Linked DNA regions of Coturnix japonica. The protein of the gene in region 2 interacts with the protein of the main gene of each other region in a pairwise test. Links are inferred from orthologs where the notes say so. Each region holds a gene or a part of one and is shown on either strand. Other genes may lie near its edges. The genes, in order: DTNB, HMG20A, RPP30, BRAP and HPCAL1.

Evidence for each region.
Region 1: the proteins of HMG20A (region 2) and DTNB interact in binary tests that used the Homo sapiens proteins (3 or more experiments, as listed by UniProt). The two-hybrid records come from large-scale screens. The link is inferred for Coturnix japonica from reciprocal best matches to the Homo sapiens genes HMG20A and DTNB.
Region 3: the proteins of HMG20A (region 2) and RPP30 interact in binary tests that used the Homo sapiens proteins (3 or more experiments, as listed by UniProt). The two-hybrid records come from large-scale screens. The link is inferred for Coturnix japonica from reciprocal best matches to the Homo sapiens genes HMG20A and RPP30.
Region 4: the proteins of HMG20A (region 2) and BRAP interact in a two-hybrid assay, tested with the Homo sapiens proteins (2 studies listed by BioGRID and IntAct). The link is inferred for Coturnix japonica from reciprocal best matches to the Homo sapiens genes HMG20A and BRAP.
Region 5: the proteins of HMG20A (region 2) and HPCAL1 interact in binary tests that used the Homo sapiens proteins (3 or more experiments, as listed by UniProt). The two-hybrid records come from large-scale screens. The link is inferred for Coturnix japonica from reciprocal best matches to the Homo sapiens genes HMG20A and HPCAL1.

What each region holds. Positions count from the first base shown.
Region 1 is NC_029518.1:95,642,151-95,647,717, reverse strand, and holds the start of DTNB (dystrobrevin beta), read left to right. Parts: upstream 1-2,169; 5' UTR 2,170-2,228; exon of another isoform or gene 2,229-2,292; intron 2,293-2,618; 5' UTR 2,619-2,687; intron 2,688-4,230; exon of another isoform or gene 4,231-4,249; intron 4,250-5,567.
Region 2 is NC_029525.1:2,278,457-2,284,257, reverse strand, and holds the start of HMG20A (high mobility group protein 20A), read left to right. Parts: upstream 1-1,971; 5' UTR 1,972-2,098; intron 2,099-2,657; 5' UTR 2,658-2,767; intron 2,768-5,801. UniProt on the Homo sapiens protein: Plays a role in neuronal differentiation as chromatin-associated protein. Acts as inhibitor of HMG20B. Overcomes the repressive effects of the neuronal silencer REST and induces the activation of neuronal-specific genes.
Region 3 is NC_029521.1:17,047,065-17,052,647, reverse strand, and holds the start of RPP30 (ribonuclease P protein subunit p30), read right to left. Parts: upstream 3,738-5,583; 5' UTR 3,452-3,737; coding exon 3,370-3,451; intron 2,599-3,369; coding exon 2,543-2,598; intron 2,236-2,542; coding exon 2,179-2,235; intron 1,904-2,178; coding exon 1,829-1,903; intron 1,289-1,828; coding exon 1,217-1,288; intron 1-1,216. UniProt on the Homo sapiens protein: Component of ribonuclease P, a ribonucleoprotein complex that generates mature tRNA molecules by cleaving their 5'-ends. Also a component of the MRP ribonuclease complex, which cleaves pre-rRNA sequences.
Region 4 is NC_029530.1:5,363,198-5,368,903, reverse strand, and holds the start of BRAP (BRCA1-associated protein), read left to right. Parts: upstream 1-2,417; 5' UTR 2,418-2,527; coding exon 2,528-2,609; intron 2,610-2,694; coding exon 2,695-2,853; intron 2,854-3,040; coding exon 3,041-3,239; intron 3,240-3,541; coding exon 3,542-3,731; intron 3,732-5,042; coding exon 5,043-5,156; intron 5,157-5,602; coding exon 5,603-5,706. UniProt on the Homo sapiens protein: Negatively regulates MAP kinase activation by limiting the formation of Raf/MEK complexes probably by inactivation of the KSR1 scaffold protein.
Region 5 is NC_029518.1:88,236,884-88,242,467, forward strand, and holds the start of HPCAL1 (hippocalcin-like protein 1), read left to right. Parts: upstream 1-1,821; 5' UTR 1,822-2,053; intron 2,054-5,584. UniProt on the Homo sapiens protein: May be involved in the calcium-dependent regulation of rhodopsin phosphorylation.

The DNA.
Region 1 (5,567 bases), on a different chromosome or scaffold from region 2:
GTGAGTGAAAGAAACGCTGCAGAATCAATGTCTAAATATAGAGAAGAAGCACACCCATGGCTCAAGCAAAGCAATTATCTTGTCACACCAGAAAGGAACAAAAAGGAGGCTGTTCCTCGTTCCTGATCTCAGCTTCTGCTTTATCTCAGTTGCTGTTAAGTGGGGGTATGCATGAGATGGAAGAGCAGCTCTGGACACACAGCCGGAGGTACCTCTATCTACACATATAGATTAAAGGCTGCAGGGATCTTCTTTGGTACTCAGCTGCTCGTCTGAAAAACACCTACCTTCAGAATTTAAAGTTCTTCAGTTACAACGTCAAGCAAAATGGGACAGCAAATGTGTTACTCCGGTGTCTTGGTGAGGCCACTCTCAACCTAACCTTTTGCTCATGCTTCTTTTGGGCTGATCTCATTACAGCCAAGTGAGTTTAGACTCAGAGCCTTCCGACTTGTGAACACCGGGCACTTGAGGTTGTGAGAGCTCAAGGGCGTGAATGTGTAACTGCGGAAGAGCAGTTGTTGTAATGGCGAAGGATAGAGCAAAAACATGCTATGCCAGAAGGGATGAAAATGGCAAAATACCAGAGGTGGAAATATCTCCTTCTCTGGAGATATTCAAGACCTGCCTGGACACCTACCTGTGCAACCTGGTGTAGGGAACTTGCTTTGGCAGGGGGGTTGGACTCGATGATCTCTGGAGGTCCCTTCCAACCCCTACAATTCTGTGTGAAAAGCAGTCAGTCATACGAAGGAGATGTTTTTGGTGATCTGAGAGATTCCTTCCAGTCTGACATTTCTAATCACTCCATGAACCACGTCACATTTGGAGATGCCGTATGAAGGAGGGTCCGGCTCACCCGCTGTCACAACGCAGTGAGCTCAGACAAGCGATGGTTGTGTAAGCTTCATGCTCTGGCTCTTCAATGTGCCATCAAGAGCTCCCCTTGGAGCAGCCAATTCTGCACAAATCTCTCCTGTTGTAAGACCAGACCTGAGGTGGTGCTGTCCTCCTGCACTTCACCTTTCCGACAGCCAGCGGCTCCAATCTGCGCCATATTTTGCACCATTCATCACTGAGGAGAGGTTTGTCCTTGGAATGACTTTGCTGCCTCAGTGCTGGTGAGACCTCACAGCTGGGGAGCTCGGGCTGCTCCCTTTCCTTGGGTCTCTGTGGTTTCTTTGTGGTTCTTTTAGTATTCTTGCATCACTATGGGAAAAGAAAGAAAAAGAACACAGGCACATGAAAACCCATACACAGCCTGTTGGAAAATATCTCCTTTTACTTCAGATTAATTGAAAAATACACTGAGTTATTCCAAGTCCTCCACTTCTCCCTACAACACCTAACCAACCCCAAGGCTTTATTTTTCTGCTTTTATTTCTTCTTCCCTGCTGCTAAATTTGGGTTTGCCGTCTCCCTTCACACTTACCGAGACCCTTTGCTGACCTCCCCCTGAAGCTGGGCCAAACCACAGCTCTTTAAATGGCAGCTGTGCTGAAGCTGAGTCCCAGGAGGTGTTTTGCTCTTGTAATTCCATTCAGATGCGGATGGCTCCAATGCAGTGGGGGCACAGGGCAGGCAGCAGCGCTGGATGAGAAGAGGTAGAATTGTTTTACACAGCATCCCAGTTGGGTAAAAGGAAAACATAACAGTGGGCTGAATTAAAGTGTTACTGAGAGAGAACTCAAAGAGGGGAGGTTGAGGTTGGATGTCAGGGGGAAGTTATTTACTGTGAGAGCGATGAGGTGCTGGAACAGCTGCTCAATGAGGCTGTGGATGCTCCGTCCATCCTTGAGGGTGTTCATGGCCAGGTTGGATGTGGCCCTGAGCAGCCTGGGCTGGTATTAGATGTGGAGGGGGTTGAAGCTTCACTACCGCCATCTCGACGTCCCCTCATCGCCCTGAGGAGAGGCGCTGACCGCCCACTGCGCCTGCGCAGGAGACGGGAGCGCGCGAAGCCCCGCCGGCTGTTGATTGGCTGGAGAGCACGAGCGCTCCCGAGGAGGGGCGGGGCGAGCTCACGCACGTCCGCCGCCGGAGAAGCGTCCGCTCGCCGATTGGCTGTGGAGGTGAGGAGGCGGGGCGAGGCACGAGGGCTCGCTCAGCCATTGGCTCTCGGAGGCAGAGGGCGGGGTGGGATTGGCCGGAGGGTGCGCGCCCCCGCGGAGACGCTTTGCGATTGGCTGCGCGCCGTGAGGCGGCCGGGGACCGTTGGAGTGGGGACGGTGAGGCGGAGCGGCGGTGGATGCGGCCCGGGCGGAGCGGGGCGGGGCGGCCAACACGGTTATGGTGTGTGGGGGCTGCGGGCATCAATGGGACCGGTCGGATTGTCTATGTATTGGGCTGCGCTAATAGCGGCGGGCTCCGAGAGCCGAGAAACGGGGAGGGCGGCGTGGGGCTGAGGAAGGAGACCCGTCCCAAGCTCGGTGCTGGGAGTGCTGGGCCCTCCAGGCCGTGACATGGGCAGCCCGTCCGTGTACCGACGTGGAGCCTCCCGCTAAGGGTGCAGCATGAAGTTGGGTCTTAGCTTGAGCTGAACGGGGCCGATAACCGGCTGTTTGTCATAGTGGCTCTTTCTTTTTTTTTCTTTTCTCGTGTGGTTGGTTGTTTTTCAGGTCGTCCTTCGATGTTGGCAGAAGGAGTTGAGGTGGCTGCTGCCCTGAGAGGCTCCGTGTGCCATCCAGGTAATGTGGCATCCAGGTAACTGTGGCTGGGCTGATGTGCACGGAGCTAAACAGGCTGTGTCTGTGGGTTCATGGTCAACAGAGCATCCTTAGGGTTGGAAGGGAACCTTAAAGACCACCTGTCCCACTGAGCAGGGACACACAGCTCCATCAGTGCTCACAGCCCATCCAGCCTGACCTTGGCTGTGTGCAGGGATATCCAGCACCTCTCTAGGCAACCTGATGGACCTGGAGAGCCATAGTGCTATATATGTATATGTCATAGTGGTGAGGCTGGTCTCTTTTCAGTAGTGCGTGGGGATAGGACTAGGGGTAATGGGATGAAAGTACAACATAGGAAGTTCCTTTATACAGTGAGGGTGACGGAGCACTGGAACAGGCTGCACAGGGAGGTGGTGGAGTCTCCTTCTCTGGAGATATTTAAGACTCGCCTGGACGCCTACCTGTGTGACATGGTGTAGGGAGCTGCTTTGGCAGGGGGGTTGGACTCGATGATCTCTAGAGGTCCCTTCCAACCCCTACAATTCTGTGATTCTGTGCAGCGCTCCTCTTATTCATAAGTGATTGTTAAGCCCTAGATAGGCTGGGGAGCCCTTTGCCAATGGTTTGTGTGCTGCTTGAGAACGCTCTGATAACACTCGAGCCACTGCCTTGAGTTTGGTCATCAGCTGTGCAGTGCTGCTCTTTAAAAACGCTTTGTACTTTCAGTTTTCTTATTCACGTTCCTGAAACTGAGTGTGCAGTGCGTCAGCTTCCTTGTTCTGCTGTTGGCTGCTGTGGCTTTCCAGGCAAAAAAAAAAAAAAAGAAGTTAAAATTCTCATTTCCACGTTGGGAAATGTGAGAAACGTTGGCCTGAAGAATTACTTGGGTTGGTTTTTATTTGTCCTCCTGCCTTTCATTGGTAAGTGTGTGTGATCCTGTACTGCCAGCTGATATTACAAAGTGCACTCGAAGGAATAGAGGTAACCCAGAATTGTCTGTTTGAGGCTGTTGCTTTCTGTGTTTCCAAAGGATATTTTAGATTAGTGGAGAGTTTGGGTAAAAGGGTGTTGTTGCTGACAAGCAACTGGAGAAGATGGAAAGAATTAATTGCTGTAGGGCAGTTCCAGCTTAGCCCTCTCGTTCGTCACATTATTTGTCAGTACCAGCATAAATAACAGTTGTGAGTGGTATAGAAAGCAGCCTGCTTTTCTTAGCCTTATCACTGCTGCTCTTTAACTTTGTGCTTTTGGGGTGGTGAGATTTGGTGATAAGGACTTAAATTTGTAACATTTATGTTGAGTTATGTTTCGGGTTTTTCTCTCAGTGCCAAAGTGGAGAAATCATGATTGTAAGGTGCACATTTGGTTTAGTGTTTAGATAGGCTCCTGCTGATAACTTGTGCCTAAGCTTAGCTTCGTGGCTCTCTTGCAGTCATGGAATGAATCATAGAATGGCCTGGGTTGAAAAGGACCACAGTGATCATCCAGTTCCCCCTGCTGTGTGCAGGGTCACCAACCATCAGACCAGGCTGCCCAGAGCCACATCCAGCCTGGCCTTGAATGCCTGCAGGGAAGGAAAGGTGCTGTATCATATCTGTGTGCTTTTTACAAAACCTTCTTTAGAAGCAGCTCCTGATCCACTGTGTTTAAAAGAAAATTAACAAACACAAGGGAAAGCCCCCAAAATGTAAAAGCAACACCAAAAAAACGCTAACTTGTGACTTTGCAATGTAATTCAATACAGGCTTGGTCTTGATCTGGAGTTTCTTGATGATGCTCTTTTAAACTGCCATTCATTATGGCTTGTGAAGTTCTTAAGCAAACATTGGAGCTTTGTTTGGGATCCGTAGAACCGGGAGGTGTATGCGGTTCCTCATGGATGCTCTGTTGTCAGGTTGGTGTAGATATTGAGGTAACATATCAAAGCATTCTTAATACTTCTGTGCACCATTACTTATGCTTTAATTAATTCCATTTAGGGTTGGGAACTGAGTCTGAAATTGTAGTTGAACTAGAAGAATGATCAGAATTGTGTAAAATATGCTTTGAAAGAAGGCGTTGGTGGTCTGTTAGTGTGAGTGGCTCTTCTTTTTCTGTCCTTGGGTTTCCATTGAATGGTTTGGGTTGGAAGGGACATTAAACCTGTTAAATGTATGCCCATGAAATAACTACTAGAGCTCTTCCTTTTTCCTGGTAAGAGGTGTAGTGAAGTAAAGAATCATAGAATTAATTACAGAATGGCCTGGGTTGAAAAGGACCACAATGATCATCTGATTTCAGCCCCCCTGTTATGTGCAGGGTCACCAACCAGCAGCCCAGGCTGCCCAGAGCCACATCCAGCCTGGCCTTGAATGCCTGCAGGGATGGGGCATCCACAGCCTCCTTGGGCAACCTGTACCCAACTTTTAATGGATTTCTTTTAATGGAGTACTTTTGGTGGAGTACTTTTAATCGTTTACATGCATTCATGTCATAAGCAGTGCCTGATAGTGGTTATCAGATCTTCAGGGTATCAGAGCTTTTTTTGGAGGATGTCTCACGAGTGGAATTACAACATAAAACCAAATGGAGTATTTGAAAAACAACCCCAAAACAAGAGGAAAAAAGCAGCACGTCCCTTTGATAGCTCAGAAGCTGATTTATTTAGTCCCTAAATTAAAGTAATTAGGAAGCAGTGAGGCAACAGCTGAAGTTGCAGATACGGAACCAGGATGACAGCATTTCAGGCTATGATTTATAACATGGCAGGAGATGCCTGTGGTGGTGCTTGGGGAAGAACAGATGGTGCGATTTGGGATGGTGGCTGTGGTTGGGGCAAGAGCAAGGACTGTGGCTTTAGCTGGAGTTGGATCCATGGGCTCCTCCCACTGATAGAATCACGTAGAATGGCCTGGGTTG
Region 2 (5,801 bases):
AGGGCAGCAGGATGGCTTTGCTTACCTTCTTATTGCTGCTGCAACTGATGCAAAAGCACCCCTGTTACAGCACTACGTTTGCTGGGTGCATCTCTTAAGTATCTGTGTGCCTGGCATCATCATCTGCCACCCCAATACCTGTTGCTCACAGAATGGTCTGGCTTGGAAGGCACCTTTAAGATCACCCAGTTCCATCCCCTGCTGTAGGCAGGGGCAACTCTCAGCACAGGTTGCTCATAGCAGGCTACCATGCTAAACCACAACTTACTGGAACAGCAGCTCAAGGTACTGAACAACTGATTGGCACTGCTAGCATGTAAAAGCAAGAGCTCCATCCTTGTCACTGACACCCCACAAACAGCAAAGCTCTCGCCTCCTTCTCCACTTCCACAGCCTCGTTCCGCTTCGCAGCCTGTATTTTTCCACTCTAAACTTCAAATGACAGCAACACATTGTTGTGCTGCTACCATATGAAACAGCAGAACGTAAATCCCAGTGCTGTGCCAGCCCTGTGGGGACACACACCTCTCCCCCCCATGTTACCTGATGGGGCTGTGGAGTGAATGTGGCCGCACTGATGGCTCCTGGCTGCTGCCGTCAGCCATGAGATGCCACACGTGGCTTGTAGTTAACTTGACATTACCTCTTTGAACTTCACTTTAACTAATAAACCAGCCTGTGACTTACTGATTGCCGCTGTTCTACCGCGAGCAGGTTACAAACACCTGGATCTATCTCAGCAATAGCAGCATGAGAACAGTCTTGTTTCCCTGGCCAAGCATTCTCTTTCCACACCGCACATGCTTATGACGGCAGCACGGCAGCTCACACCTCCACACCACACGTTGGGCCACGACCCCGGCTGCAGTGCAGGGGGGGACACTGTGATCCCAGCAGCTGATCCCAGGCCTGGGGAGAGGCAGGTCCGACAGGAACACGATGTAAAAGGGAAACGGCCGCTGGGGTGAACCCAGCCCCAAAGCGGGTTAGTGCCAGACGTCAGTAGGAGGAAGAAAGCAGCGAGTGGGGAAACTGCCCTTCTGTTCTGAGCGCAGGATAAAGGGACACAACAGGAAAAAGGAAAAGGAAAGGAGAGAGCCGGGAGCGCTAACCCGGGAACGAGGCAGGGGAGGCACGATCCGACCTGTTGTTCCGCACATCTCACACCGGGGCCGCATGGGCCGAGCCGGCGGGGCGTCCCGGTGCGGGGCAGAGGAGCCAGGGATGGAGGCGGGATGGAGGCAGCGCAGCCCGGAACAAAAGGCACCGACCGCCGCCGCCCGGACACAACTTCGCCCCGATCGCGGAGCGGAGCTGAGCTGAGCTGAGCTGAGCGCCCCGCACCTCACCTCACCACCCCGCCCCGCCGCCCCCCGCCCCAGCCGGCGCCGCTCTCCCGCACCTCCCTCCTCACCCCCCCCCACGCGTCCCCCTCTCGGGGCCCCGCCGAGCAAACCCGACCCGTTGGCTTCCCCCGGCCGAGGGGCGGCCCGGCCCCGCGCACCTCACGGTGACTCCGTCCCCGCGGCGCCTCCCGGCCGCGCGCAGCTCCGTGTTCGTGCGGGCGGTGCCGCGCCGGGTCCCGCTCCGGGCAGCGCGCGCCGCGCCCGCAACAAGCACCGAGTCCGGGCGCCGCGCGGACACGCCCCGCGCGCGCTGAGGGGCGGGGCGACCCCGCCCACCCCGGCAGCCCATTGGTTGGGGAGGGGAGAGGGGGCGGGGCCAGGCCGAGGGCGCGCGCCGGGATCGTCGAGAGGGAAGACTACGCATCCCGGCGTGCACCGCGCGGTGCGGCTCCCGGCTTTAAAGCAGAATGCCAAAGGTAATGGTGTCCTTCCGCCCGCGCGGAAAAAGTAGTCCCGGGGTGTAGTTTGGCCTCCTGCTCTGAGGCGGTGGAAAGGGAAGGGGACGGGGCAGGAAGCGCTGCTGGGGTCGGCTGTTGCGCTTCCAGCCCGGGTTCCCTTTGGGGCCTCTCCGGGTAGAGCTGTGGTGAGGGGCGGAGGGATCCGCGCCGGTGGAGGCGCGGTGATGCGGCTCTGTGAGGGACGCGGCGGCGGCGGGGCCGAGGGGACGCTCAGTGCCGGGCCGAGCCCCGCAGGTCAGTGCAGCGGGACGGGCCCGCTCTGCCCGCTCACCGCACGGGGCGGCCCGGGGCGCTGTGTGGAGCCGGGGGCGGCGTGACGGGACCGGCCGGCACGGCCTGCACGCGCCTTCGGGCCTGCCGACGGCTGCGGCTCGCGTGGGGCTGAGCGCTCGGCGCGTGTCTTCGTGCTCATCGCGTCTGTTGTTGGTGATCACACGGCGGTTCCCCGCGGCTCCATCGTTCTCATTACCCGTTACGTTATTGCATCCCTCAGTAGTCCCTTATGGAGCGGGGTGCTCGGCCTGCTGCCCTCCAGTTCTGTTAAAATAGAGAAACTACAGTGTGTGACTTAACTCCACTGTTCCCAGTATAAATCTAGTCTTTCTATTCTACCTGCATGTGTTGAGGTCCGTAGCTGACAGGTGCCTGTTCTGTGGGTGAGGGTGAGCCCCGTTTCCAAAGGAATGCTGTAGCTACAGTGCGGCCTTCAGCTCTACATGTGTCAGACTGTGACTTACACAAACTCCTGTGCTTTGCAGGGTTTCTAAACGCCTTCCATCTTCTGTTCTTGCAGGACACGTTCCCTCGGTGGCCACGGCTGTGTCTGATGGCGAGGGCTGCACAGAGAGCTGACGTGTGCTGAGCTGCCCAGAGCTCCCGGTCTGCTGAGTGGAAGCAGTGAGGGTGAGCTGAGTTACTGCTCTATACTCACCTGGCAGAGTCACTCCTCCCGTCCCGCTGTAAGCTGGTACAGGTTGCTGCACTGTTGCTCCTCATCCTGCCCTCCCCAGGCTGTGGCTGGAGGATCTTTACTCCCTCCCACCTGAAGCATGTGTGGAACTGTGCTGGTTTTTGTAGCACTGAGGCATACGAGGCATATCTTTTTCTTCCTTTAATTCTTAAAGCAGCTGAAGCTGTCTGATAATTCTGTCTCGTTCTGGTTTTTATTCCTCTGGTGTTGAATGCAGATGAATTGTAGGCAGTTCAGTGCTGTCATGGGTGAAGCCTGCTCTCGTTCCATTGGTGTCTTCAAGTTCATATCTTTAGTTATTCCGTGGTATCCAAGGGATTGTTTGTGGCCAAAAGAAACTTGTGATAATGTATTAATAATCACCTTTCAAAATAAGTCATCTGCAGTATTTGTTAGGACTTATGGGTGTTGATGTGCCTGGTTTGGGCTCTGTATTGTTCTGAAGGAGCCAGAGCCAATGAGTCTTAGCTGCTTTAATGAGATGGGTTCTCGGTGTTAAATGAATGGTGGTCAATAGAGTTAGCTCTGTTTTGTGGTTCCTCTATGGATAACTCGCATGGAATTAGCTGGTGTTTTTGTGGATTATTTAGTTTGGAGTTTACTTGGTTGCAGTTTGAAAGCCATGGGGGGCCATTGTTATTTGTTGATCCAAAGCTGGATTTGATTGTGTGAAATGAAGAGCATCCCACAGTAGTGCTCAGGAGACGTGGTGTCTGGCGTCACGATTGGGAAAGTCAAGTGTCAGTCTCCATAGCTGGGGGAGCAGAGGAGAGAAAGAGCTGTGACACAACAGGTTCTGGTAATAGCATGGGAATATACAACAGAAAAACAGCATCAAGCCAAGTATTGGAAACAGTAAACTGTGAATCTTCTTTCACGCTTCTAACTCTGGAGTTTGCTAACATTGCATTTCTGCTATGGAGGTGGGTGGGGAAGCGTTCCCAGCATGGGGTGAACGGTGCACCAAGGTAGGAGGAAGTTTGTGTATTAAATATGTTTTAGTGGTGCTTTTAAATACTACTACAAACCTTTTTCCTTGGTGCAGTGGTTCTTTTCTACTTCCCCACAGCCTATTGTTCTTTAAGAACACACATCTCCTTGTATTTGTTTTCACATATCCAGGGTGTTGGCAAGGACATCTGCTGCTGCCAAAAGGGTGGAAATTCAGGAATTAATCTAGGAAGATATTCCATGTGAAGCTACCACTGCATTGGATGCATGAGTGTTTTGGAGTCTCAAGGTTTAGAGACTATTTTTAAGTGCTCTTAAGTTCTTCTGTAGGGTGGGTATTGTCTGGCTGAAATAGAGCTGAGACAACCAGTATTTGCCTTTATCCTCTCTTTCACTACATGGGAATGAATTTGTCTCTATTCTTATGCTCAGTTTAATTAAGGTAGAAAAGTAAGTATTATGCAATTCATATGAGATATGAAGAAGCAATGTCATAGATTGTTTTCTAACAAGCTCTTGTTAGAAAAATAATCAGAATCCGGGGGATTTCGAGCTCTCTATTTCCAGACTCGTGGGAAAGAATCTCATCTTTCATTAGCAGAATAAATGTTTAGCTTGACATCAGAAAGAAAAAAAACTGAAAACGTCAAGTCAGCTTATGAGATAATCCTAATTCTTTTTCTGGTATTCAGATTTCCTTCCACTTATGGCTATTTTAGGGCCCTCAGTTACTGGAATCGTTTCCAGTGTTCTTCATTTTTGACATCGCTTGAGTTGTAGGGGGATAGAAGCTGAATCTCAGGCCACGGAGTTAGAAATGTAGGTCAGTATTGGCAGTGCTACTTGTATCCTTCCTTCCCTGCCAGCTGCTGTGCTTACTTCATGCTTTGCTGAACCATTTCACCTTGTGTCAACTAAAAACATCAACACAAAGCTATTGTTTCTTTAGCATGCTGATACACAGACATTGTCTAATGACCAGAGCTCTGCCCATCTGAAGATGCTGTGGTTGAAGTAGCTGGTAGTTCAATAGGTTTGGGCTAGTCTCTCCTATGGCAGTGGAAAACTGCTGTTTGGTCCTTCTAGGCCTGGTTTCTCTTCACTTGGGCAGGTGATCTCAAAGCACTCAATAACAGGCTGCTAACAAGGAGAGTCCAACTAGCAAGAACTGTTGGTGTCTGGGGGTGGCTCATGTAAATTCATACGAGTGTTTACCATTGGTAGAAATGGGAGGTTTCATATGCACTCCTTATTTTTATAGGCTCTGGTGTTTGAGCTCTCTGAGTCTTTACAGCTATGTAGCTGAGATGGTAGAAGATACCCAGCTTCAGTTCTTTCCTGCTCTCCCAAAGGAAAGAGTTGCAGGGTTAGAAAAACTGTAAGTTTATCAAATCACAGCCTGATCAGAGTTCATTGATAAACGTTCTTAGCTTATGGGGTCTGGCATACAAAAGCAGAACAAAATGCAGCTGACTGCTACAATGGGTAGCTGTACAAGGTCACTGTGTTACAGTCAATCCTTACAACGGGTCTCAGTAACCATAAGGTAACATTTCTTTTAAGGTAAGTTACTTGTGTGATTTCATTGCCAATTAAGAACAACTTGCTTTCAGTCCTAAAGCCATTCCTCAGGAGGGTTACTGAGAAGACATGTATCCAAAGCATGTAGGAAACAGCTGCTTACAAGAAACTCTGCAGCATTTTCCTGAGGGTTGTTCCTATACTGCTGTTATTGGGAAGATTATTGTGTATATTCATATGCAAACAGTGCACACAAAGGGGTTACATCTTATTGATGAGTGGGAAGACAGAAGAGATTGGGAATTTTTTGCATTTTCCATGCATTCAGAAAGACAAAATTTCAGCTTTTATCACAATATGTTATTATAGACTTCTGAGAGTTACGTATGCAGAACCCTTTTCTCTTCATTGATGTGAAAGTGTTTAATCTCTTCTCTGAGGTCAGCAACATTAATCAGATAAGTGTCTATAGTTGACTTCTTAGTGAGACGTTTA
Region 3 (5,583 bases), on a different chromosome or scaffold from region 2:
TGGAAATGAGCTTCATTAAGTTGTCACTGTTACAATAAATACTTCAGTTCTTCTCCTTTCAAGTTCACCTCCTTTTACAGCCTCTTCACAAGTTTTCAAAAAGGACAGGAAATAATTTAAAAAAAAAATAAATCAGAAAAATATAGTTTTAATGTTCCAAAGATAGGTATTGAGCAGCACCAGAAAGTAGCTTTAACCTAACTGAAAAACAATGTCAGCTTCTCGACAACCTCTCTTTGAAAGTAAATTCCGGCATTCCTCCAAAGAGACTCACATTTGCAGTTGGTGTCCCAGTGTGTCATGGTTTTGTAATTTTTGCTATCGGTATTCCACATCATAACATCATGTGGAACACAGAGAAGAATTACATGTCCCAGAGTACCTCACGGTCAGAGAGGAAAACACATCACAGAAGTGACACTGGCTCTCTCTCACACTGCCTGGCAGTAAGTGTGGGTGTGCTTCCAAGTTGTGGCACCTTCAATTTTAAAGTAGGCTTCTTGGTCTTCAGAAACCTCTCTCTCTTATTTCACTTGATTTATTAGCCCCAATTTCAATTAGATCATACTATATTGTGTTATGTTGCATTCCGATATCATAATTAGTAAAATAAGTTCTCCTCCTTAGATTGTTGCTGCTGCTCTGTTTATCTCCTTGAGCCCAACTCCCATCTCCCTACCCCTTTCCCTTTTTTCTTTCCATTCTTGGGGCTGGAGGGAGAGCCCACAGGCCTACTGCCCCCCATCACAGACATAGATTGATCTAGATAACTCCGTGACACAGTGCATTCTTCAAATTGCACATCAGCTTGCTGTCTGCCAAGGGCAATACAGACAGATCACCTCTACCAACTCTTCCAATTCACTCTTAATGATACGACTCAGGAGCTTCCTGAGATGGTCAGATGTGCCACTTTTTCTCCCCCCATTTTGCAATGAAAGCATTTTGACAAGAAGTTGAGCTGAGCATTTGAAAGCAAGTCAGTCAGACCACTTGCAGACGTTTAGGACCAACTGATCACATCAAGGCCCTTTACCCTTCTAGGATTTCTCCCAATCTTTTAGTCTGCCTGCTGCTGACCAGAGAACCTACATTGTTTAATTAGCCCCATGACATGGCTATATAGAATGGAAAACAAAACAAAGCATGCACTCAAAGCACTCCAAGACACTGATGGTTAGTGCCAGCTCTATGACAACTCACAGATAGTACTTACATGGAACAATTTCTCCGTCTTTGGAAATACAGCTATGATGTCATACAATCTTATATTTGCAGATGTAGATCTCTACAAAAGGAGGAAATAATTACTACCTTGACTTCTGGCAGGTGACAAGCATACACACAATGATTATAACCAAAATAATAATGAGAAAATTTCCTCACCATTTTCAAGCACCAAAACAAAGACGATAATCTAATTAAATAGTAGGTCTCTACTGTGAGCAATTCTCTGAGGTCATTTTGAGGCTTGTCCCATCCACTCACATACCTTTTGTCTCAAGCACACAGCTCCACAAACACACACTGGTCTCCCTCCTGGTATTCTAGTGTACACATGGAAGTCCAGAATTCAAATAAAAGAATAAAGGAACAGAACTGCTACCCCATACTAATAAGCGATCAGCACAATCACGTTCTGTTTCACAGACACTTGCGTGAGGGGTCATGATGCTTCAGATTCTAAAGATCTGGTCTGAGAAATCAGTACTGAGTATCCTATGAAATCCATTAAATCCAATACACAACTCCCAAAGTGTCATTCTTTCGTTGAGAAAATTAAATTAAAACAAACAAACAAACAAGCAGATACACTGAATGTACTTACCAAGAGATTACAGTGGGAAGGATCAGAAACAACAAGTGTCAGCCGGGTTAAGACTTTAAGTCTTTTAGATGTCCCCTATGATGGAAAAATAATATAAGATTTTAAAAGCTGACAAACTTTGTGGCAACCTTCACCCTGCCTACTATAAAAAGAAAGTTGTGCCTTGCACCAATTCTTGCCTATAATAATTTTCTGGAAGTCTGTAGTTATGCTTCCCTAATATAAAACATATATATTGTAACTGCCCTTCAGAAAGAAGGGCTCACTGTGTTTCTCTGAGGAGTGGATAAACTGAAAGGAAAAATTGCAGCTCAGTGTAACAACACATAGATGGAACGTAATAAACACACCTGCACAATAGGCAAAGATGGAAACAGCTCTGATGGAGACACCGGCTTGGCTATTTCCTTAAAAGAAAACAAAACAAAGTTATCCAAAATACAACAGGGATGTTTAGAATGTACACAGAAGTTGTGTTCCAACTCCAAAAATAAGCTTAACATACTAACAAAATATTTCCTAAGGACAATTCACAGACCATAGTAAAAATTAACTCCAGGGCAGTAATACAGGCTTATAAAATCAGAGTTCTGTTATAAATATAAATACAAATGCCTTCATTTAGGTGAGTGCGTAAAAACAAAGGATAGAGGAGTGGCACAGAGATTTACGAGAGCAAACACATCACCAACAAAGAAGCTGAACTGAAATTACCTGTTTCTTTTCTTTAAAATCGATGACGTGATTAAGAGCAACTGCAGAATATCCCACTAAAAAAGAAAACACATTGTGAGCCTGCTTTGATCAGCAAGTAATGGAAACAGACACAAGGAGAAAACTGTCACATGCTCATTATTTAAATATCTCAAAATCAATAACGATGTGCACATTTACCTTTCACAGTGAATTTTGCTCAATGTTAACTCAAAGATGTGTCTTAAGAGTACAATTTTTTCTTTTAGCACAAGCCAGCCTTTACAACACATCCTCACTGACTGACAGTAACAAGGACAAGGGACTGTGCACGGCCAGTGCTGGGGTACGCACAGAGATGCACGGTTACCTAATGGGTACAGCAGGGCAGGCTGAGGTGTGGCTGTGAGCCTGGGGTAGTGGGGTAAGCCACAGGCTGCCAGGTCCCGGCTCTGCATCGACACGAAGGCTGCGCCTTGCAGCAGCGGACTGGAAGATGCATTATGAGGGGAGATGTGACCACGATTGAAGGGTGATACAAACAGAAAGACTGCCGTGGTGGACAGGACTAGAGAAAGCCATAAAGCCTGTGCTGAAGATCAGTAACCCTGGAACAAGTTCTCTGCAGAGGTTGGAGAGTAACCGGAGATAATAACAGCGCTGTTCAGGCACAGCACAGACCCCGTGCCCTCGCTGGGCAGGGCAGGACCGGCGCATGGAGCTTCCGCCCCGTCCAGCCCCGCTTCTCCATCCTTCACGCCGCTGCTGCAGCCCTCAGCCAGCGCCGCCTTCCAGCACAGCCACCCCATCCTCAACAACACATCCACCCGCTCCCAGCCCCGACTCACGGTTCGCCGCAGCCTCCAGCACGCTCTGCACGGCCTTCCTATCCGCGCCCTGCGGGACGTTCAGATCGGCGAAGCCGGCCATGCTGCGCAGCACGGGGCGGAACGAAGGCTGTGAGCGCAGCCGGCACCGCCCCCGGCGGCCCGGAGCAACCTGGGGCTGGTAGTCCTGCTACGAGGAGCGGGATGGGCTCTGGACCAGCAGGCGGAGCTCTGGGTGATGGAGCGTGCGAGCTTTTATGCGCTCCTGAACGTGTCCGTGGGGGGCTGTGCTGCGAGCGGAGCAGTCGGGAGCTCGGGGTGTGTGCGCTGCCCAGCAGGGGGAGATGCGCTTCTGCTCCTCTTAGCGGCCGGATCGCCTCCCACCGAGCGCAGCTACTGTATGGCCCGAGGGGGGGTGGAACCGTTCCTAGTTAAGGCCATCGTTTTCCTGCGTTAACTAAAAAATGTGAAATAAAATCCTAGGTTGATTAGTCCCAGCTTCTCTAGAGATATTCCCTAAAATGCAAAAGAGATGAACAATTCCAGGAGACCACAAATCAAACATGCTTTGACTCTGTAGCACTGTTGAAAAACCCACCCATTTTATTGCTGCTAATCAGCACATATGTGAAATACAGGTGGTAATGACCACTTTTGTTGCTGTTTGGGACAGTTACAGCAGCTGCTAAAACAAGCAAGGCTGTGATTTCTTCACATCATCAAGGTGGTATTGGGAGGCCTCACAAGCCCTCTGCTTCCACTTCCTTGAGCCTGGAGGTTCAGTGGGTTATTTGGAATGCTAAACCCTTAACCAGGCAGAATTGCTCCAGCAATGCCCACAGCTCCCAGGCACGTCCCTGCCCACAGCACTGCTCCTTGGCACACTGAGGCCGAAGAGTTTATAAGCTCCCTTTAAACACAGAAAGGCTGCAACGAGATCTCCCTGGTGCCTTCCCCAGATTGAACAAACCTATCTCCAGGGAAGTACTCCAGCTCTCTGAGCACCTTCGTGGCCATCCTTGTGACCCATCACAACAGCTCCATATCACTCCTGTGCTGGGAGCCCCAGGCTTGGACACTGTGCTCCAGGTGGGGGCTCACAAGGACAGTACAGAGTGAAACAGTCACCTCCCTCTTCATGCTGCCACCCCTCTGTTGATGCAGCCCAGAATACAGTTGCTCTATGGGCTGCAAGTGCACACTGCTGGCTCATATCCAACTTTTTGTCCATCAAGTCTCCAAGTCTTCCTCAGCAGGGCTGCTCTCAGTGAGTTTTTCTCCCAGTCTGAATGTCTGGGGTTGCCCCAGCTCAAATACAACACCTTGAATTTGGCTGTGCTGAACCTCACTAGGTTTTTGTGGGTCCATTTTTCAAGCCTATCCAGGTCTCCCTGGAAGATGTTCCTTCCTCCTACGTTTCCTATGTTTCAGCAAATTCTGCTTTGGCCTATCTGTGCCCTTAACATGTTTCCTATTGGAATAGCCAGTGCTGCTTCTCTGCCAAATATCTGAACACACAGCCCAAATCAAATGGTCTTCTTAAGGCTTTTCTGTGAAGTGTGTGGACATGGGAGAACTCAAAGCATTATTTCAAGTGTTTTTTTTGTTTTCTTTGTTTGTTTGGTTTTTTTGACAGTGTATGATGGAACTTGATTTAATTTGTCTGAATAAATGTGAGAAGAAATCCATAAATATGTATCAATTATTTCTGAACATCTCTTTTGGACTAATGTTCAGAGACATTAAACAAGATTAAGCAGCTTTTTTTTTTTTTTAGGCAACAGACAAGCAAAACAAACCTTTTCTCGAGGCACTTAAAATGGAGAGTACTTAAACAGATCATCCTTCAGAACCCTATTTCTGTGATGGCCCTCCCAGCATCACATATCATCAATTACTTACGCAGACCAGTGTGCAACCTTATTTCCCCCATCAACCACTTGGATGTTGACATTTTTGTTTAGGCCAGACCCAGTGATCTACTTAAAACATAGCTGTGGTTCTCACTGTCAGTCACAGACTTTGAGTGTGCTTTGTTTCTCCCGTGTCCTGAAGTCCTCCTAGTGCGGCCAATTTTTCTACCCTCGAGGAACATTTTTCATGCCACATTTAAATTTTAGGGAAGACCTTTTCAGGTCTTATGAAGTGATATTCCTCTAATGTACCTCCAGTGGGCAACTCAGGGTAGCAGCTGTCAGATATATATGTGTATATGTCTCTTTGGCTTCAGTTCTG
Region 4 (5,706 bases), on a different chromosome or scaffold from region 2:
AGATGGGTGAGCTGTCCTTCCTTTCCTTAGAATGCCTTTCTATTGTGTTTGTCCCTTTGTCATTATACCTTTTGTATCACCTTTCTGTTGCATTGATCTTTCTGATTGTTACAACCATCACCATCTAAGTTATACGGAAACAGATTTCTGACCACTGCGCCTATCGACTACACTGAAGCGATATTTACAGCAGAAGAGGCATTGGCCAAAACTGTGCGCCCAAATTTGGAGACTGATGTGGGTGGCCCTTCCTTTGGTATCTAAGTAAAGAGTTTCAGTTGCTGTGTTCTATAGACTTAGATTCAGAAATATATTTTACAATCTATCCAGGCTTACCACGTCAAAATGGTTTCGGTCCAGGGGCAGAAAGCTCTCTCCATTCGGCAGCTGAAAGCTGTTGCTTAGAAGAGCTGTCTTAAGACCTTCTGCACGGATACACTGTATTGCTTCTGCCATTATGGGGAGCTGCTTTGTCATCTCATTTCTGATTAAGTTGGTGAGGAAAGAGTTCACTGGAATGCAGATGTTTGCCTGAGAAACCAGAACCCCCCCCCCCCCCCCAAGAATGGTAATTAGCCATATGTAGTTTATAAGTAGGGAAGAAAATAGTGGCTGGGTAGGTAGGCTGTCTGATCATCTTATCTTGCTCTCCTACTTCCCTTGGCAGCAGGGACAGTGAATCTCCCACCTAAATTGCACAGACCAAAGAAATGGGTGTTTGCAGATCACTGATTCTACAGAAGCAGCGAAGCTAAAGGCTGATTTTGGGAAAGAGAAATGCACCTGCAATGGAATCAAGGCAGGCTGGAGATAAGCATGGGAGAACCATTTAACAGGCAGGGAATGAATCTGCATTTTAGACTCAGCTGATTCAAAAAGACTGCATTAAAAAGAGGATTCTGACATGATGTTCCTGGAGCTGGCAAACAAAAGCTATGGTGGAAGGGCTTCCACTGGTCTGAAGAAGACACCTCTGAAACCACCATCTCCACTCACTGAGCACATCTGTGCACCAAATAGCAGCAAATGCCTTTCAGCTGCTCTCTGATTTGTGCTCCGTGGTATCAGAAAGTTATGAAATACAGAAGCTGGTGAAAGTGAAGGCATATTCTGCTCACTATCCTGCCTTGGCAGCAGAATGATAACAGCAATGAGCTGCCAGCCCTGGTGAGATGGCAACGCTTCCTTGATGGTAAACCCAAAAGCTTCCCACACTGCAGGATCCCATTTCCCTGCAGTCAAGAAGCACAAAGAGAGGGATGGGGAAGTGGCTTACAATCTCAAAGCACTGCTGTCCCAACTCCTGCAGAAATTCAATAGTTGTCAGCTCTCCTCTTGTGTACTTGACAGAGGGACTGTTTGCCCCTCCAGAGAGCAGAGCTTGTTGGATGGTGCCGGCTGGAATACAACTCTGGGCCTCCCAGTCTATATGAAAGGAAGAAAGCCAGGAGAGAGCACACATGGTATCATCAGAACTGGGAAACAAGACTGAAATTCCTCTACAGCTCTGAACTCTGCTGTGTAAGACCTGTGCTCGTGAGAGCTGGTGTGATGGGCCTCGTCTTTACTTTTTGTGTGATGTCCTTTGGTGTGAAAGCAGCAAGTTGGGAGTCCTGCAGGGCAGTTGTACCCCAGCTGTGGTTGGGCCCTGACCTGCAGATGTTAAATGTCAACACAGCTGTCAGTTCTATCACTTCTGACGGTGTAATTGGGAATGCTGGGCAGCAGCATCACCGCATCTGTGTGGAGGTGCCACCCAATGGAGGTGTCTTATGGAGACCTGAAAGGCATTTTGTATATGGGAAGCTGGAGCACAGGAGGGGCGGCCATACACACCTGCGGCTGTATGCTGTGGGGCTGGCAGCAGCACTCCGCTCACATTGAAGATCACAGCCCTGTAGGGGCTCCAGCCCGACTGTGTCCGTACCAGCCCCGCGGACAGCAGGATCCTGGAGCAGCGCAGGAACGGGGCACGGGCAGCACTGCTCAGGTACATGGTGGGACTGAAGGGAAAACAGCATGAAACACACACAGCACAGCGTGTGGCTTATGGCGAGTGCTGCATGGCCACACACTGCACTGAGACCCCTCTGGGGTGAAGGAGAGGCCCTGAATGGTGAGATAGGGGAGCAGGGAATGCTTAGGGAGCATTGCAGCTGGAGGGAGCAGGGCCTGCTCCTGGGCCCATAGCCGCGCTATAGCAGACAGGGCCCCAGCTGTGCTGACGTCCCGCAGTGACACAACGTCCCCCCACCCCCCTCTGCACACACGAGCCCTACGGGCCCCAACGAGCCTTGTCAGGCGGCGCAAGTCTCGCGAGAACTCACAGCCCAGTCTCGCGAGGAGCAGCCGAGCCCACTCCGACCCCCTCCCTCGGCTCCTTCCGGCTCGTTCCGCCGTTCCGTGACGTCATCACGTCGGCGCCGTGACCCGGTCGGGGTGAGGGTTCAGAGGTGCTGGAGGCGGAAGCGCCGCTGGCTGCGGGTCGGGCCGTGTCGCAGCGCGGCGGGTCCCGCGGTCCGGGCCCATGAGCGTGTCGCTGGTCGTGATCCGCATGGAGCTGGCCGAGCCGTCCCCGCTGCCCGCCGGCTTCTCCTACAGCGCGGCCGGTGAGTCGCTGCCCCCGGGGCCGGCGCTGTGCTGCCGTTGTGCTGCCGCTGTCCCCGCCTTAACGCCGTCTCTCCTCCCCCGCAGCTCCGGAGATGGACGCCGAGAGCAGCGGGACGGTCCCGGCCTGTTTGGAGGGGAAGGGACCCGGTGAGAGGGCGGCCATCCTGCACCAGCACCTGGGCCGCAGGGAGATGACCGACATCATCATCGAGACCATCCGGCCGCGGGCGGCAACCGGCACCGGTGAGTGCGGCCCGTTTTAACGGGAGCACGAGGGAACCCTTCCATCCACTGCCCTGGTTGCAGCGTTGATAGCAGCACATATTGGATCTGTGGCACTACAGAGCTCTGAGCTCAGTGCTGTTCTGTGCTTTGAGAACTGTAGATGTTTCTCATGTGTGGTCAATAATCAAAGCTTTTGTTTGGAAAGGTGAAGCAAAAGCTGCCGTGGAAGGGAGAAAATCCTGCGAGGCTGCGGCTGAGGACAGAACCAAACAGGATGAGCAGAACAAAGAGCGAGAGGCTGCTCCAGACTCGCCTTCCAAACAGCTCCCTGACCAGATTTCCTTCTTCAGCGGGAATCCATCAGTTGAAATAGTTCATGGCATTATGCACCTGTACAAAACAAAGTAAGAATGTCTGACTAATTGTAGCTGTGATGGGAACGGGTCACCCAGCAGGGTGAGGTGTCACCCTGGGGCTGCGGCTCCTGCAGGGACAAACAGGAAGGGTGGGTCACACCCACGGTGCCACCAGCCATGGGGAAAACATGGAGCCTGGGTTTGGGTCTGATGGCTGTGGGCAGCACTTACAGGCAGTGTGAATGCCAAGGAGTGTGAGGACATCAGTGTGGGTTCCTAACAGTGCAGTTGGGAGTGTGATGTACCGAGCTTTGTCCTCTATGTGATGCGATGTACCTGCTGTCTTACAGCAAGATGACCTCCTTAAAAGAAGACGTGAGGCGCAGTGCCATGCTGTGCATCCTCACGGTCCCCGCCACCATGACCAGTCACGACCTGATGAAGTTTGTGGCTTCCTTCTATGAAGTCATTGAGCACATGAAGATCATCCGAGACTCCACTCCCAACCAGTACATGGTGCTGATCAAGTTTAGCTCCCAGGTAAGAGCTGGAAGTCCCTTTGACATAGAGGACACTGCAATCTGTGTGGGGGGCAGCCCTTTCTTGTTGCCCAGCACTTTCCTGGGGCTCCTGACTGAGGCTTGTCCTGCAGACAAGCACGTGTCGTGTTCTGTGCCCCTTATTTCTTGTTGGTAGGATATTTAAAACTATTAAGCACGTGGAGACAAACCACCTCTACTACCTCAGAGCGTGTTTGCAGGCAGAGTTGTGTTGTGCTTTGCTGAGCAGAAAGAATGCAGCCAGTGGCACTTTATATGTTAGTAAACTTCTCTGAGGAGTTACTGCCAGTCCAGCCTGCCCCAAAACAGGGAGCCTGGGGGTGAATGGGTCACTGGATAACACAGGGTGCTGCTTACAGGTATCCCCTGCTATGACCTAGGTGGACTCTCTGCTGGATCTTCCTTTCTGGGGATCTGAGAGGAGTTTTGGTCAGCTCTTTCCCCAGCTGTGGGTGCTGCATAAGATGTTTTCCATGGCTGTGGTGTAGATGCAGTATTTGAATGCAGTTTGTGCTATCTGCAGCAGTTGCAGATGTGTGTTTTGCATACTGCTGTATAGGATGTAATGGGTAAATACCCAGTGCCTCGCATCAAAACCTGTAGTCAGTTCACCCTGAAATCGCAGTTACTTCAGAAACTTCCTGAAGGCCTGTTCCTCAGTGACCCCTAATGGCTGCCTCTGTGTACAGCAGAAGCAAATCTCGTGTGCCTTTGTGTACCTGGCTCGAGTGATTAGGAGCAGAGGAACGTGGTGCTGAGCTCGGTGTGATCCTCTAATGAAAGGGAGGAGGTCGCTGGGTGCAAATGGGTGACACATCTGATAGATTTTATTTTGGTTTTACCTCTTTGCTGGTGACTCCCACAGACAGTTCAGCACATCTGAATTGTGCAGTGGATCCTTTCCCACATTAAATGGGTCTTATCCTATTGACACAAGTATCGGTGTCCTGTAATGTGACCCTCTGGAGTTTTGGCAGAGAAACCAAGTTTGCTTTGCAAATAACGCTGGAGTTGCTGACAAGAAGCAGAATGGGTGCTAAAGGGAAGTCAGTTATACTCAGATATCAGAGTAACCATCCCTGCTGCCAGCTTTGCTTCTCATCTTCAAGTGGTAGCACCAAGCTCTGTGCCAAGGTGCGATGCCTGCTGGCAGGAGCTGAAACTTCTCCTCTGTTATTGTGGGACCTGGTGGAGGGAAGCAGCAGGGATACAGCAGATTTCTCCTCCTCCTCCCTGCCTGTGTCAGCTGCGGGCTTTTTATTTCAACAGCCTTCCCTTGTTTTATGCGCAGGCTGATGCAGACAGCTTTTACATGGCGTGCAATGGTCGGCAGTTCAACTCCATAGAGGAGGATGTTTGCCAGCTCGTGTACGTGGAGAGGGCTGAAGTCTTCAAATCGGAAGATGTAAGTGTTTATTTTGGTTTCCCTTCTGCTGGATTTCAGCCAGGTCTAACAGTTTATTTCTGAGCAGAACGCTGCAGGAAGTGTTAAACTGTATCAATCTGAAACCCATTTTCTGTTCCGGTGTTGTTTCTACATGGAAAGGTTTGTTTGGTGATCTTTGTGGGCTTCAATCTCATTGTTGCAGTGATCCAGAAAACATCATGGGGCTGTGGCAGCTGCAGCATCCACCTCACCCTGTGCTGAAATGGGTTTGTGCTCAGTTGAAGGCTGTGGTTTGCTTTTTATCTTGGTGAATTTGTAACCACTGCATAGACTTGCAGGATGACTGTGTAGTGTTTCTGTACCTTAGTGCTGGTGGTAATGAGAAGTTTGACTTTCTGTGCAGGTGTTTGATTTATGGTCATTGGAGGGTGCTGAGCAATTTGTCTCTGCTTGTTCTTTTGAAGGGGGCCAGTTTGCCTGTGATGGATCTGACAGAGCTCCCAAAGTGCACCGTGTGCCTGGAGAGGATGGATGAGTCTGTGAACGGGATTCTTACCACTCTGTGTAA
Region 5 (5,584 bases), on a different chromosome or scaffold from region 2:
CTTTCATCTCCACCAAATCCCTTGGTGATTAAGCACCGGACAGCAGAAGGAATTTCTCAGGGTAATTTCAGATTCAGCAGAGCTGGAATGATCCAGATGAATCTAATTCAATCCCTCATTGTTTCTGTCTTCTGATTATAGAAACAGAATGAAAAGCAGAAAGAAAATCAACCGAAAGGATGCCAGTACAGCTATGGCACCATGGTCGGTAAAGACCCACATTAGGTGAGCACAGGGTTACTAGACTGGCTTAATAAACAAGGGGAAATGGTTTTAAACTTAAAGAGAGATTTACATTGGATTTAATAGAGGAAGTTTTGTACAGTGAGGGTGGTGAGGCACTGGCACAGGTTGCCCAGAGGGGTGGGGGATGTCCCATCCCTGGAGACACCCAAGGCCAGGCTGGATGGGGCACTTCTCAAAGTAGTTAGGCATCCAAATGAAGACTGTGAGGATGGGGAAGGATCTGGAGGGCCATGTGTGTGAGGAGCAGCTGACAGTGGGGCAAAGGGCTGTCACTGCCTGTGCAACTGCCTGCCCCAAATGAGCCACAGCCCCAGCACCTGGCATTGCTCACATAGGGTGTGCAGGGAAACAGAGGGGATTACTCATGTGTAACCACCCCCCGCGAGGAGGAGCGGGCTGCAGGCGTGTGAAGTTGGCAGTGACGGTGCTTGCATCTAGTTTTCCATTCTGTGTTCCTGTTTCGAGTCGCTTCTAGTTTTAACAGCACAGGTTCGCCAGCTTCCCAGCTTGTTTTTTGCCTTGGGCCGACCTTTATGTGTATAAACATATAGGTCATTTTTTAAGTCGGCAAAATGGTTCGAGCTGCTCTGAAAGGGGCTGGAGAAATGGGTTACTGCAGAGCAACACTTTCAGCTTTGCATCAGTAGTTACAACGTATTCCAGCTTTGCATCAATAGTTACAACGTATTCCAGCTTTGCCTTAGAGGTGAAATGTGGCTTTTTTTTCCTTCTATTTTTGTTTCTTAATTCAGTTTTCTGCCCTCACAGTACGGAGATAAGCTCTGAAAACCTGCATTTCGGAGGCTTTTTGTGCCTCCCAAGGTTTGTTGCTGAAATCTCTCCAGATCTTTTGTTCCTGGTGTGGCCCTGATTTCAGCTCTGCTCGGTTCTTATCTCGTGCGCTCGCCTGGACTCCTATGAAGGAAGGCAGAGTGAAAGCTGCCGATAAGGCACAACGGGAACGGCGTTCAATTCTCTATACGTTCCTGACTTGAAAGCGCGCCGGGCAGGAGCTAAGGGAAAAACAGAAATCCTAAAGGAAGGATTCATCCCCCGTGCGCTCTGCAGGCCGTAGCTCTTAGCAAGGCTTCCCATGACCTCCCTCGAGAAGCAGCTTAGCACTGAGCCCTCAATCCCCTCCATTTTGTGGCAGGGTGCGCTGTGCGGGCGGCTGTCCCCGGCCAGAGGCAGCGCACCCGTAGGGATCCACCTGCACGGGCACGGATGGGGAGGGGAGGGGCGGTGGGTACGTGCTGGCTGCGGTGGCAGAACTCGTTGTAGGGCCTGCAGCTGAGAGCTTCCTTGTTTGCACTGGGGTTAGAAGAAAAAAAAATAAAAATAAAAAAAAATAAAAAGGAGAAAAAAAAAAGGAAGAAAAAAAAAAGATAAAATATATTAAAAATAATTTTTTAAAAAAAGAAGAGGGAATTAAAAAAGCAAAAAACCAAAGAGATCAACTTTTCCCCGCCGCCCCGCACTTCCTGCCCCGCGGCGGCCGGGCGATACCAAGTGGCTGCGGGCTGTTGGGCGGCCCCGTCGGGGCGCGGCGCTGCGCAGTGCTGCGGGATCCGGCTCCGCTCCGCCCCCCGGCGCCGCCGCTGCCCCGCGGGGAAGTTGCGCTCCGTGCCTCGCTTTCCCGCTCGCTCCCTCGGCGGCGGCTCTTTCCTCCCCCTCCCTCCAATGCGCCTCCCGCTCATTTCCTCTTTTCCTCTCCTCTCGCCGCCGCTCCGCAGGCGTGCGGCTCGCCCGGGCTCCGCCGCGGAGTTGTAGCTGCCGGGAGGCCGCCGCGGGACCGCTCCGCAGCCGGGTGAGGGGCGGCGGGATGCGGGCGGCTCGGGGGGCGGCGGGGGGCAGCGCCGGGGATGCTACGGGGTGGAGGTGCGCGGTGCCGGGAAGAACGGACGCGGGGATCCGTGCGTTCCGCGTGCGTTAAGGGGGATCTTGGAGCCGGCGAAGTTCGCTCCGCACGAGTGGCGTTCGGGGAGTCGGCTCCCCGAAATCTTACTTCCTATTGCCGTCTCTCGAACCGGCCCTGGCTGAACGCTGGCTCCGCTTCGGTCGCCCCTCCCCCGGGGCCGTTCAGCGGCCCGATGTCCGCTCGGTGCCCCGCACCGGGAACGGGGGGGAGCGGCGGCCGCAGCGGGCGGGGAAGTTTGGGCTTAGTTTGGGAGAAGGCGGCTGTGTAGTTTGTGTGCGTATGAGAAAACGGCGGCTTTATTTCCGCAGGAATAATGCTAGGCGAGCGCTGGAGCTGCAGGCTGTACCGTAGTCCCGTTCACAAATATAAATGTGGCAGAGAGACGGAGTTTTCTTTGCGGGGAAAACAAACGGAGGAGGCAATAATTCCGTCCCCGACACGTTTTCTCAATGGGAGCCGTTTGTTGTGGCTGTGGGTTCAAACGCTCCCGGCTCCTCTCGGCACAGCCCGGCGGCCGTTCGGGCAGCAGCCGCCCTGGGTGGTGCCGGGGATGCTGCGTGTGCCTGCACGGGGACCGCATCGCCGCCGGTGCTGAGCCCCGGGGCCCTTCCCCGCACGCGAGCGGATCGCACGGCAGCTGCGAGCCTCGGCTGTCATTAGGGAAAGGCACTTTGTGCTCATCTCTGCCTACGCGAGATGGGGAGATGCCGGCCGGCAGCGCTGCTTCTCTGCCACACCTGCCTTCTTCTTGCCTTCAGTGTGATGGTTATGTCTGGCTTAAAGTGGAGGAAACTGTGTAGGGGAGGGAAAAACAAGAACCGCTCGCCTCTTTAGAATGGATGTCGCAATGCTGGCAGCAGAACTCGTGTGCTGTCAGCTATCCCGGTGAAAAAAGCGCTTTTTGTTGGCGCTGCTTCATCTTCTTGGGGAGCAGTGCTGGGTGGGGAGAGCTGTGCCAGCTGCAGAGGCTTTCTATGTTACAGCTGGATGCAGGGCTGGCATTGGGCATAAGGGACGGGCACAGGCAGCTGGTTTGGGCTGAGCAAGTCAGCTTAGGGACTGTGGCTCTGCAGAAGAAAAAAAAAACCATAAAAACAAAACCCAAAGAAATCCGACATGATCTGTGATTCGGAATGGTTGCGATTCAAAAAGATTCGTGCAGCATCATTTGTTGTATTTTTGAAGCCGTGCAAATAGTTTTTGATGTATTGATTACCTTGATTTGAGAGGGATGGGAATGCTGGTAGACGAAGTGGGCAGTCTGAGTTGGAATTCTCTATAGTGTAGGGATTTTTCTTGCTTTTGGTGATACGAGACTGTGAGGAATGAGACTGTGCTCTGTGTGTGTGTGAGATGCACTGATGCTCGTGGGAAGGGGATCTCTCGCTTGCAGAGCTGCTGCTCCTTCCTTCAAACCTGACTCCTAGGACAGCTTCAGTAACAAATGCTATACGTTTTCCAGCGAGTGGAACAAAAACTGACCATTTCTTTTCTGAAATGAGCTCTTTCCCTTGTTCCTCCTGTGCTTTCCATAGTGGTTGTATGTGGGATCGGTTTCTTGTGGAAATCCAGTGCCAATGGCTGGGAGACCCATAGGATGGGCTGCGCAATGAACGATACATTACCTTGCGCTGTCTGTGCTACAATTAGAAGGCAGGAGCCTGGAGGCTGCATCCAGCTCGTAATGTGAGAAAGACTGCACGTCTCCTGGGCTGCATCGCACAACATGTGCCACTGGCAGTAAGAGATGCTGCTTGTAACTAGGGGGTTCAGGTGAATAACCTGTCCAACCCAACCAGCTTTTCTCTTCTCTTGCGCTCTCAAATGTCTTTCCTGATGACTGAACTACCTGTATTGAGCAATGCAATCTACTTGGTATCTGTCTGGCAAAAAAGCAGAACCAAAAGCTGGGCACAGCTATAGTTACGTACAGCTAATGCATCCTCCTTTGAGACCTGCCAGTTTTGTTGATGACATCTACAATCACTGCTAGGATTTCAGTGGCTGTGATCTTAACCTCATCAGAAAGGTGTCTGGCTGATGGTAAACCTTCAAAACTCCAGCTGGGTTGGAAGGTTTGGCTGGTAGGGACAGCTGGAGACCTCAAGGGCAGGAGGCTGAGTCCCAAGAGGCTGCTTTGGCCTCAGAGATGCTTGCTAGAAATGAGGCATACCGAGATCCTGATGCTTGTGCCAGGAGGGTTGGCTAAGCTGAAGCAGCTGGCTTTGCAATTAGATTGAATTTCTGTTTCAGACAATGTGTTTATCGTAAGGAATTAACCAGCGTGCTAGTCAGAGTGGCAGAGGTGTTTGTTTCCAGTTCTCCAACCATGCAGAGTACGAGCATTGGGATGCGAGTGTGCACACGTGTGTGCTGGTATGCAAATACCAAACGTGTGTTTTGAAGGAATAATGAACCTTGCTCCTGGCTATCCCCACTCTGCCCACTGACCACATCCATCAGTGCCACGTTTTCTTGTTCCTTGAACACCTCCACTGACAGTGACCCCACAGCCTCCCTGTGCAGCCTGTGCTGCTGCCTCACCGCTCCTTCTGAGAAGAAATATTTCCTAATATCCAACCTGAACCACCTCTGGCACAACACGAGCCCATTGCCTCTCATCCTATCACTGTTACCTGGGTGAAGAGGCTGGCCCCCACCTCGCCACAGTCTCCTTTCAGCAGGTGATAGATGGTGTAGCTTGGGCATGGGCTTGGAAAACAGATCTTTCTGATGCTTGGGAACTGGTACGTGGCTCCTGCAACATCATTTTACATAGGCGAGGGTGGCTGTGGTGGGAGGCAAGAAAAAAGCCTACTAGGGGCCACGCCTTCTGTTTTTCTAATTCACCTCTGTGAATGTGCCTTGCACAGAATAGATGCTTTTTGCTGTGCTGAGATAGCAGGATTTTCTTCTAGGCTTCTCTAAAGGGCACTGTGAGCAGGATTCTCTCTTCTTGGCAGCTCTTCTGTTGTGTGAAGAGAGAGAGAGCTTGCTGCTGCTGGCCCTGCCATGCTTAGCTGTCAGAGCAGTTAGCACTGGTGGGGCACTGTTTGCTTTTCCCCTTTATCCGGGCTTTTTTTTCTACAAGTAAATGGTGTTTCTCAAAGGGTATCATTGCGCATTTCTTAGAACAAAGCTTCTCAAGGGGGCAAGGGGAGCAGTTTGCAAGGGGTGAGCAGGGATGATGCTGGGTGTGCATCTCCAGCAGCATGGAGCTCAGTTATTAAATGCGTGATCGAAAGCAAACATGCGGAAAGCAAGCGTACTTCATGGTGCTTAGGAAAGGGCCTCGGAGCAACATCTGTTAAGTCTATTAGAAAACACTGGAAAAACCTTTATCCCCTTCACCAGAGCTGAAGGGAACGCAGCAACTTAAAACTTTGGCTTGGAAGCAGCTGCCTGGAAGGAGCTGCCTGG